3 linked regions of the Canis lupus familiaris genome follow. The protein of the gene in region 2 interacts with the protein of the main gene of each other region in a pairwise test. Links are inferred from orthologs where the notes say so. Each region holds a gene or a part of one and is shown on either strand. Other genes may lie near its edges.

What was found. The genes of interacting proteins can lie anywhere in the genome.
Region 1: the proteins of TCEANC (region 2) and RAD54B interact in a two-hybrid assay, tested with the Homo sapiens proteins (2 studies listed by BioGRID). The two-hybrid records come from large-scale screens. The link is inferred for Canis lupus familiaris from reciprocal best matches to the Homo sapiens genes TCEANC and RAD54B.
Region 3: the proteins of TCEANC (region 2) and SSNA1 interact in binary tests that used the Homo sapiens proteins (3 or more experiments, as listed by UniProt). The two-hybrid records come from large-scale screens. The link is inferred for Canis lupus familiaris from reciprocal best matches to the Homo sapiens genes TCEANC and SSNA1.

What each region holds. Positions count from the first base shown.
Region 1 is NC_049250.1:39,848,663-39,852,761, forward strand, and holds the start of RAD54B (DNA repair and recombination protein RAD54B), read right to left. Parts: upstream 2,801-4,099; 5' UTR 2,667-2,800; intron 986-2,666; exon of another isoform or gene 929-985; intron 264-928; 5' UTR 248-263; coding exon 113-247; intron 1-112. UniProt on the Homo sapiens protein: Involved in DNA repair and mitotic recombination. May play an active role in recombination processes in concert with other members of the RAD52 epistasis group.
Region 2 is NC_049260.1:10,120,698-10,124,057, forward strand, and holds the end of TCEANC (transcription elongation factor A N-terminal and central domain-containing protein), read left to right. Parts: intron 1-1,776; 5' UTR 1,777-1,784; coding exon 1,785-2,831; 3' UTR 2,832-2,860; downstream 2,861-3,360.
Region 3 is NC_049230.1:48,461,680-48,465,015, reverse strand, and holds SSNA1 (Sjoegren syndrome nuclear autoantigen 1), read left to right. Parts: upstream 1-1,225; 5' UTR 1,226-1,333; coding exon 1,334-1,385; intron 1,386-1,771; coding exon 1,772-1,971; intron 1,972-2,304; coding exon 2,305-2,412; 3' UTR 2,413-2,836; downstream 2,837-3,336. Other genes in the region: ANAPC2 (anaphase-promoting complex subunit 2), read right to left, coding at 236-858, 1,058-1,162. UniProt on the Homo sapiens protein: Microtubule-binding protein which stabilizes dynamic microtubules by slowing growth and shrinkage at both plus and minus ends and serves as a sensor of microtubule damage, protecting microtubules from the microtubule-severing enzyme SPAST.

The DNA of each region.
Region 1 (4,099 bases), on a different chromosome or scaffold from region 2:
TAAACCACTGAGCCACCCGGGCTGCCCGACGTACTGTTAACTTAAGTGACATGTCTTTTTTAAAAAGTGCGTGCTTCTCTATATTATGCTTCCTTTTTTTTTTTTTTTTTACCTCAATTAATTTTACATCAGGACTCATCTTTGTAATCCCTTCATCTGGACTTGGATTACTTCTCGCTGGTGGTACGAATTTTAGTTTTTTGAGGGGATTCCCCTGCAACTGACTTGGCGCTGCAGACCGTCTCATATTCAGCAGTACCGACCTAAAAAATACCCAAAACACAGATCATCCATGCATCTGATAGAATTAACTCCAAATAGGAAAACAGTTCATCGCTACAACCGTATCTTTAAAAATACAGTAAGAGACTAAATATGCCAAAAAGCCTTAAAATATAAGTTTAACAGCCAGTAAGATTTTATTTTCATCACAAAGGGCTCCTGTAAGGAATCGAGGACTTAAGCAGGATGCCGTAAACGTGAGCCCGCGTGTTGGAGAATGCGAGGGGGGCCCGGGTCCCCGAGGCCTCCAGGGCGCCAGCAGTACCCCTCTGCGCAGGAGGAGCCGACGGCCAGCCGCCGCCCCGCTGACCCCGCCCTCCGCCTTCCACCCCCCCAGCAGCGGGCCCCGCCGGGACCCCGGGACCCCCGTGGCTCCTGACCGCGCCGCCCACGGTGCCCACGCACGGGGGGGGGGGGGGGGGGGCCCCGACCCTGCCAGCCCCGCGGGCCAACTCGGGAGGCCCCGGCAAACAGCCCAGCACCGGGCGGGCCCCACAGGGAGGCCCCGCAGGGAGACCCCCGGCCCGCGGTCGCCCCTCCCTGGGGCCTGCGCACCGCCAAGACCCTGCTGCCACCCGACCCCCCCGACCCCGACACCCTCACTCTTCAGCCCCGGCCCCAGCTCGCCCCCGACCCCCCCCCCCACCCGATGCTCCTGGCACCGGACCGCACACTCCAACTCCGGCCCCGACACTGCCTTGACCCCCACCGGCCGCGCCCCGCCTCCAGACCCCGACCCCGTCCCCATCCTCCGACGCCGCAACCCCCCCCCCCCCCCCCCCCCCCCCCCCCGCCCCGTGCACTTTAGCTCTGATCCGGACCCCGACCCCCATCCCTCCCGAACCCAACCCTGCCCGCCTCGCATTCCGCTCCGACCCCCACTCCGACTCCCACCGCCCGCACACATGAGCTCCGCCCCGACCGACCCGCCCGCCCCACACTTTAGCTCCACCCCCGACCCCGACCCCGACCCCCCCCCACCTCCGCAGACTTCAGCTCCGCCCCACCCTCCCCCTTAGCTCCATCCCGACCCCGCCCCCGCATCTTATATCCGCCCCAACCCGCATCCGCATTTAGCTCCTCCCCCACTCGGCCCCCGCCCTATTCAGCTCCGTCCCCCCGCCCCTGCCCCATCCCTCCCGCCCCCGCCCCCTTTAGCTCCGCCCCCACTCAGCCCCTCACTCTAGCCCGCCCCCACCCTCCCCTCATACTCTAGCCCCGCCCCCCTCTCCCCCTCACATTCTAGCTCCGCCCCCCTCTCCCCCTCACACTCTAGCCCCGCCCCCACTCGGCCCCTCACTCTAGCCCCGCCCCCACTCTCCCCCTCACACTCTAGCTCCGCCCCCTCTCCCCCTCACATTCTAGCTCCGCCCCCCTCTCCCCCCTCACTCTAGCTCCGCCCCCTCTCCCCCTCACACTCTAGCTCCGCCCCCACTCGGCCCCTCACTTTAGCTCCGCCCCTCTCCCCCTCACACTCTAGCTCCGCCCCCACCCGCCCCTCACTTTAGCTCCGCCCCCACTCGGCCCCTCACTCTAGTTCCGCCCCCTCTCCCCCTCACACTCTAGCTCCGCCCCCCTCACTCTAGCTCCGCCCCCACTCTCCCCTCACACTCTAGCTCCGCCCCCACTCGGCCCCTCACTCTAGCTCCGCCCCCACCCGCCCTCACTCTAGCTCCGCCCCCACTCTCCCCTCACACTCTAGCTCCGCCCCCACTCGGCCCCTCACTCTAGCTCCGCCCCCACCCGCCCTCACTCTAGCTCCGCCCCCACTCTCCCCTCACACTCTAGCTCCGCCCCCACTCGGCCCCTCACTCTAGCTCCGCCCCCACCCGCCCTCACTCTAGCTCCGCCCCCACTCGGCCCTTCACACTTAGCTCCGCCCTCTCTCCCCCTCACTCTAGCTCCGCCCTCACCCTCCCCTCACACTCTAGCCCCGCCCCCTCTCCCCCTCACACTCTAGCTCCGCCCCCACTCGGCCCCTCACTCTAGCCCCGCCCCCACTCTCCCCCTCACACTCTAGCTCCGCCCCCTCTCCCCCTCACATTCTAGCTCCGCCCTCTCTCCCCCTCACTCTAGCTCCGCCCTCACCCTCCCCTCACACTCTAGCTCCGCCCCCTCTCCCCCTCACACTCTAGCTCCGCCCCCACTCGGCCCCTCACTCTAGCTCCGCCCCCTCCCCCTCACACTCTAGCTCCGCCCCCACTCGGCCCCGCCCCTTCCCTTTCGGCTCCGTCCCCCGTCGCTCCGCACCCCTCCCCTCCCCTCCCCCCGCCGCTCCGCCGCCTTCCTTCCCTCCGCCCCCGCAGGCCCCCTTCGGCGCCCCTCCCCACGCCGTCCCGCACAGGCCGCCGCAGCCCCCCAAGCCGCCCCCTCCGAGGACGTACGGGCGAAGATCCCACAGAAGCCGCGCGTCCCAGCAAGACAGCCGGCGCCCGAGGTCCCGTCACCTCCCGGAGGTTAAGGCTCCCGCCTCGGAGCAGCCTATAGCGGGCGAGCCGGCCGCGCACGCGCACTGCCCTCCACCGGCTCCGCTCGCACGACCTCGACTGCGCATGCGCGGGTCTCTGCGCGGCCCCGTAAGCGCCTGCGGTCCGGGTCCGAGGTGTGGTCCTGCTCCGAAATATCTACTTGGAAAAAATATTTCTTTCCTTGTTGATGGCCTCCTGTCACCCGCTGTAGGAGCTGAGGATACAGACCTCATCTTAGAGCAGATCACACAGCTTAAATCTGGAACGTCGACACAGGTGTGTTCGCTGCAGGTGGATGGTCTGTGCTTGGAGAAACGGTATGCAGACGTCCTTGCCCGCGCAGCTCCTAAATCGTGCAGCACGTTAGGAATGAAGTGACTTTAGCAGTGTTGCTAAAATAATACAGGCCCTTAAATTGCCTGGCACAAATCGGCAAACTAACAATGGCCTGATACCCTTTAATATAGTGACAAGGCAAGGAAATAGACAGGTCCTAGGCCTTTAATGCAAAAGTATCTCCAGGGGCACCTGGGTGGCTCAGTTGGTTAAGCCTCCTCTTGGTTTCAGCTCCTGGCATTGAGGCCTCTGAGTTCCAGGCTCACCCACTCATGCTTGCTCTGCCTCTCAAAGAAATAAAATCTATATTTTTTTAAAAGTATCTCCAAACCGGGATCCCTGGGTGGCGCAGCGGTTTGGCGCCTGCCTTTGGCCCAGGGCGTGATCCTGGAGACCCGGGATCAAATCCCACGTCGGGCTCCCGGTGCATGGAGTCTGCTTCTCCCTCTGCCTGTGTCTCTGCCTCTCTCTCTCTCTGTAACTATCATGAATAAATAAAAAAAAAAAAAAAGTATCTCCAAACCGTGTCACTGTATGATCTATCAGAATACTCCAGTTTAAACAAAACACTTAGAAATGCGTGAACAGGGGCATCTGGGTGGCTCAGTCGGTTGCACACTGGACTCTTGATGTCAGCTTAGGTCTTGATCTCAGGGTTATGAGGTCAAACCCCACATTGGGCATGTTGGGTGTGCAGCCTACTTAAAATAAGTGAATACAATTTTCATCATTCAGCATGATTTTCAAAAGCCGTTAGTTCTAGGGGTGCCTGGGTGGCTCAGATGGTTAAGCATCTCATTCATGATTACAGCTCAGGCCATGGTCTCAGGGTTGAGAGATCAAACCCCATGTTGAAGGCTAAGCACCAGGCTATTTTTAAGACTCTCTCCTCTCTCTACTTCTTCCCGATTATACTCTCTCTCAAAAACAAAAAAAGCCATTTACTCTAAAACAGATGTGAAAATTACAGAAGACTAAGTTTTACCAAACTGTACTAGAGAAGGTATCATTTT
Region 2 (3,360 bases):
CCACTGCCCCCCTCATCCCTCTGCCCCAGTCCTAGTCAACTACCAGTCTATTTTCCATCTCTATAGATTTGCCAATTCTGGACATTTCATATAAATGGAATCATACAATATGTGGTCTTCTGTGTTTTTGACATAGTGTTTTCGAGGTTCATCCATGTTGTAGTATATATCAGAATTTCTTTTTTTTTTTTTTGGCCAAATATCATTCTATTGTATGGATAGGCTACATGTTTATCTATCAGTTGACAGACATTCAGGTTGTTTCTACTTTTTGGCTATTAAGAATAATGCTGCTGTGCACATTTTGTGTGCAAGTTTAGCCATTTGGGACCTTGCAGTTGCTTCAAAGTTTGAAGAAAATTCTTACATGTACAGCTTCCACATCTTTTGTTTCCCTAATGTAAACTTACAGAAGTAGAATTGCTGACTAAAAGAACATTGCATTTTACAGAACTTGTCATATGGTTTCTAAGAAGGCTGCATTAAAAAATAAAAAATAAGAAGGCTGCATTGATCTTCTCTGTGCTCCCTTCGGTGTTATTAGCCTATGTGCTTAGTGATGGGCTTTTTTTTTTTTAAGATTTTATTTATTTATGTATTTAGAGAGAGTGCATGTGCAAGCGGCAAAGGGGGAGGGAGAGGGAGTCCAGCAGACTCCCTCACTAAGGGCAGAGCCTAAGATGGGCTCTATCCCATGACCCTGAGACCATGCATGACCTGAGCCAAAACCAAGAGTCAGATGCCCAACCGACTGAGCCACCCAGGGGACCCAGTGATGGGCATTTAATATCAAGTGCTATAAAATGGAAGCCCATGAGTTTTTGAAAAGACACGGTCCATGGCATCAAGATGCATATGTCCATTTTTAGACCAGATGAGCAGATGTAGGTACAAGGGTATTAGGTAGCAAGGTTATGTACATTATGAGGAGAGAAAAATAGAATGGTTAGATAAACACCTGCCTGGGATGAGATTCACACAGATATAATCATCAAACAACTTTTTACACCTAGAAGCTAAACAAAAAAGTTAATGGAACCAAACTGGCCTACGACTAGTTGGTCCAAAGTCATAAAATGTCCAGATTGCTTAGTCTGAATGCTTACCCTGTTTTTCAGAAGACTCGGATGTCAGCACAGTGCCTATTGGCTCTTCGGGCTTATCAGATCTGGCTCCAGCTGCTTTGTAGCCTCTATTATCTCATGATTTTGTCACATTCCTTGGAACATCTAAATAGCATCCCCTTATTGCCCTGTTTCTCATTCTTGTATATTCAGAAAAGTACCAATTAAAGATGATAAAATCCACAAGTAGTTCAGCTTTATAACTGAATATGGGAAGAAATGGGCCAGCCTTGCTCACTTACCCTGTTGATGCTGACACTGGCATGATCTCATGCCCAATGTGACCACCAAATTCCATCCAAAGCAACTGACCCATCTAGATCCAGAAAGACTATTAATCTGTAAAATTTGGGATGGAAAAAGTTATAGAGCTCTTCCAACAAGCTTCTTTTAAGCAACCGTTAATGCGGAAGCTGGTTACAGTGCCGCTTTTTTTTTCTTTTTCCAACTACTGAGACTCAGCCTTTTGAAACTAAACCATACCACATTGCAGATTCCATTTTCTAACAGGTCACACCCACTTGTGTTACACAACTCTTTCAGAAAACACCACATAGGTAGTTGGCAGAAAGTGCCCTGCTATTATCAGGAAGTTTGACTGGCAAACACAAGCTTGAAAAAACCAGAAACCTCTTTTCTCTTTTCCTTGCAGCTGTAAAGATGTCTGACAAGAACCAGATAGCTGCCAGCGCCTCCCTTATTGAGCAACTGCTGTCTAAAAGGAATTTTGAGGATCTTGGCAACCACCTTACTGACCTGGAGACTCTGTGTGTGACGAAAGAAGATCTCCAGGAGACCATTGTGGTCAGGGCTGTGTACAGAGTCCTCAAACACTGCCCCTCGGTGGCTTTGAAAAAGAAAGCCAAGCACTTGCTGTCAGAATGGAAAGCTCTTTATAAAAAGGATCTCCACTTCAAACCGAGGGACAAATCTTTCCCTACGGGTAGAAATGAAGAAAACTCAAGACTTTCTCATGACCCAAGTCAGGATGAGCTATCAGGCGGCTCCAGCTCTAATTCTTCATCCCACAGTGTTGCAGAAGCCTTTGAAATGATTGTGCCTGAAAATAGCACAAGTCAGACGGAACCTAAGGAGGAGCATTTCAGGAGTGGTGACCCTAAATCCACTGCCCAGAGATCCAGTGAGTTGCTGGATCCCATGGTACCTGTGAGAGCTAAATGCACAGAGCTTCTTTATGAAGCTTTAACTAGTCCTTTCACAGAGCAGCCCAAAGCTGATTTGTGGCGAAACTTTGCAAGAGAAATTGAAGAGCACATTTTTACCCTTCATTCCAAGAACCTCAAAAAATACAAAACTTGTGTGAGAAGCAAAGTTGCCAATCTGAGGAACCCCAAAAATTCTCACTTACAACAAAACCTGCTCTCTGGGACCATGTCTCCGAGAGAATTTGCCAAGATGACTGTGATGGAAATGGCAAACAAGGAACTGAAGCAGTTGAGAGCCTCCTACACGGAATCTTGCATACAGGAGCATCACCTTCCCCAAGCGATCGAGGGCACACACACAAGAAAAATAAAATGCAGACGCTGTGAGAAGTTCAATTGCAAGGTCACCGTAATCGCCAGAGGCACACTTTTCCTTCCAAGTTGGGTACGGAATTCAAATCCAGATGAGGAGATGATGACCTATGTGATCTGTAATGAATGTGGGGAGCAGTGGTACCATAGCAAGTGGGTGTGCTTATAATTGTAAATAAATGTTCTCTTAACCAAGAACCAGAGTGATGCCTTTTTTTTGATACCACCCTGTTATGCTTGCTTTTAAAATCTAATACAGGGGGGAAGCCCGGGTGGCTCAGCGGTTTAGCCCCTGCCTTCAGCCCAGGGCATGATCCTGGAGTCCCGGGGTCGAGTCCCACATCGGACTCCCTGCGTGGAGCCTGCTTCTCCCTCTGCCTGTGTCTCTGCCTCTCTCTCTCTCTCTCTGTGTCTCTCATGAATAAATAAATAAAATCTTTTTTAAAAAATTTAAAAAATAATAAATAAAATAAAATCTAATACACACTGTTCTTAAAACAACCCTACAAAGAAGGAAGGAAAGTCATTCGTTCAAGCTCACACCACAATCACTAAAATGTGACCGTTTGGGGAGAGAGTTGATGACTTTTTGTTTTGTGGCCACATATTACTCTGCTGTTCTCTGAGTGTGGCTGAGAGCAGCTCCTCCTGCCCTAGAGCCTGTTATAAATGCAGAGTCCCAGGCCTCGTGCTCCTGA
Region 3 (3,336 bases), on a different chromosome or scaffold from region 2:
ACCTGAGATTAGCGTGAGTGGCAGAGATACTTGTTCTTTTTATCCAGGACAAAGAGTATAAATTCACAGCACAGGGACCCTGGGGACTGTCCCTTTGTAATGTCCAGGACTGTCAGGGCAGAGATGCCCCCCTCCCCAGAGCCAGCTCACCAGCTTTCTGAAGAGGCCGCTGGACCCAGGAAAGTAATCTAGAGTCAAGAAGAACAGGGAAATGGCCACAGCCACAAGTACTCACAGGACCTGGCTGAGCTGGTGAAACTGCTCCAGGGCCTGGCGGCACCAGCATTGCTGTTTGTCACTGCCACACCCCGCACACAGGGGGCTCTGCAGAAGTCTGTAGTACCGCCGGCGGGCGTACCTGCTGTCCAACTCCCCCTCTAGTTCCGGGTCTGTGCCCCCTTCCCCCTTCCTCTTACTCTGCATGTAGACTCTCAAAAACCGCCCGTAGAGGCGCTGAATCATCTCCTGAAACATTCTGGGAGTGGAAAAGAACAGGACGCCCCGCAAGGTGGTATGGACTTTCTCCCGAAGCCCCTGAGCGCCTGCGCCCATCAGCAAGCCCAGGCGAGTCCACTTCTCCAGCAGCTCCAGGCTACGCAGGTAGGGGTCCAGGCGACTCTCCAGCAGGCCGAAGGCGTCAAGGAGCAGCAGAAGGCACTGGGGCTCGTCCGCACAGTTCTCACGCTGGGAGATGGTATTCCAGAACTCGAGCGAGATGTGGGCCTGCAGGTCGTTCTGCAGCACCTCCACAAACCACTCCTCCAGCACCGAGTGCAAGCCGTGGCCCCTCAACACCTCCACCGCCGCCCGGAGCTCCTCCTCCTTCGGCGGCACCGCACCGCTGGTGCGGGAGGACGCCTGCGGTGCAGAAAACCGTGAGAAGGGAACGCGGAGGGACGCGGAAAGCGCGGGGACGGACGGGGAGCAGTGGGGAAGGGACGCAGCGGAGGGGAGGCTGCGGCCGACGCCAGGTAGGAGCTGTCCGGGAGCACAACGCCCACCCGGCGGACGTCCCAGGGACCCCGCGCGGGCCCGCTGCCCTCTCCCGGGGCCTCACCAGTCCGAGCGCGGCCGGCGGCACTAGCCCGGTGCTCACGGTGTTCCAGGCCAGCAACAGCTCCTGTGCGGGCCCGGGGTCGCCGTCGCGCCCCGCCGCCGCCATCTGCGCGGCCCCCTCCAGGTCCCCCGAGCTCCGGGTGCGGCGCGCGGCGATGACGCACACGAGCGGCGCGCAGCGGTGACGTTTCGGAGGGCGCGCCGTCGGACGCACCGCGCAGGCGGGAGCGGCGATGCAGTAGCGGCGGTTGGGGTGGTCGCGGCCTGGGCGGTCACCATGACCCAGCAGGGCGCAGCGCTGCAGAATTATAACAACGAACTGGTCAAGTGTGAGCGGCCTCGCGGCGGGGTCCGCCTGGTGGGCTGGGAGGGCGCGGGGCTCGCCGGCCTGCGGGTCCAGGCGGTGGCGGGCCTGCCGCGCGTGGCCCAACGGGCTGCACCGTCCGTGCGTGGGGCCTCGGCCGGGACGGCGCCGGGGGCCTTGCGGGCGAGCCAGGGGGACAGCCGCTGTGCCGCTCGCCCGGGCGCCGGGTATCTGCGCAGTGAGGGACAGAGCGGAAGGGGAGAGCGTGCACCGCCTCCCGCCCCCCGCACGGTCCAGGGTGCGAGGGGTGCGCACCGTCCAGTGCACCGGGCACGCTCCAGAGTGGGAGGGGTGCTGTGCTCCCTCCTGCCCTGGGTCCACAGCGTGTGCCCTCCCGCTCGCCCATCCCAGGCATCGAGGAGTTGTGCCAGAAGCGGGAGGAGTTGTGCCGGCAGATCCAGCAGGAGGAAGACGAGAAGCAGCGGCTGCAGAATGAAGTGAGGCAGCTGACCGAGAAACTGGCTCGCGTCAACGAGAACCTGGCCCGCAAGATTGCCTCTAGAAACGAGTTTGACCGGACCATCGCGGAGACAGAAGCCGCCTACCTCAAGGTGGGGCTGGGGCCCCGGGGGAGTCTAGGGCCGGCCAAACGCAGGGGCGACAGGATCCCGGTTAGGTGTCAGTGAGGCTGTCGGGGGCCTGGCAGGTCAGGAGTCCTGTTTTCTGCACCATTGTCCTCCCAGACCATGAGCAAAGAGCGGCCCCGGGCTCAGCTAACCTAGACTGGCTTCCCTGGGGTGCGAGGAAGGGGCTTTGGGCTAGTCTTAGGGGGAACGGGCCCTGCTGACCCTGTCTGACCTGCCCTTCAGGGGCTTCATTGCACTGCTGCCCCACAGCTCAGTGCTGGCGAGGAGTGGTGGTGACCATCCTACGTCTGTTTCCAGATCCTGGAGAGCTCGCAGACTCTGCTTAGTGTCCTGAAGAGGGAAGCTGGGAACTTGACCAAGGCCACAGCCTCAGAGCAGAAGAGCAGCGGAGCTAAGGACAGCTGATGGGGCCGTTCTGGGGAGGGGCCTGCCTCTACTGTGCCCGGCAGTGGCTGGGCCTCCGACTATCCTCAGCGTCTTTACTCTTTTTGGCACCAGCTGCCCCCTTTCAGTGTCTCAGGTACCAAGAGGCTGTTGCCAAGCTCCACCTGCCCCAGGTGACAAGGAAACCTCTGGGCACGTCCCGGCCTTGTACTCATGCAGGACTTGGGGAGTGCAGGCTCTGGGTCAGTTCTGTTCAGGGCCTGAGGTCGCCACCACCCCCCATCCCGGTGCTGCCAGAAAGGCCCTGCTCCCTTGTCTCCACACCATGAGAGTGGCCTCACCTTGCTGCCCCAGCCAGGGAAGTGGGCAAAGGGCAGGGGCCCTGCACCTCAGAGCTTGTCCTGGTGGCATGTGACTGTCAATAAAGCTTAGGTTTGTAAAGATGCCCTGTGGCCTGTGCCTGGAGTGCAGAACTGCTGGACACCTCCGGAATGAATGAATATGAGCCCCTGCCCAGCTGGGTATGGTTCATCCTTGGATGAGGGAAGCCTGGACTGGCTTTCCCTGTGCTTTTGAAAAGAGTTGAAGGTATCCTTGAGCATCTCCCGAGACCTTGTCCCCCACCCTTTCTCCCCACCAGGGCTGCTGGCCTCTGGTCCCCAACTGCACTTAACCTACTGCCCTGGAGGTATTCTGCCCATAGCTCCCAGTCCGTGCTGTTCCCTATTACCCAGCACGAGGTCTGGCCCAGAAGGATGCCCTCTTTTTCACCCATCCTCCAGACAGGCCTGTGCCCCAGCTTCAAGGTTCTTTCTTTCTTTCTTTCTTTCTTTTTTTTAAGATTTTATTTATTCATGAGAGACAGAAAAGAAGAGACATAGGTAGAGGAAGAAGCAGGCTCAGTGCAGGGAGCCCGATGTGGGACTCAATCCTGGAACTCCAGGA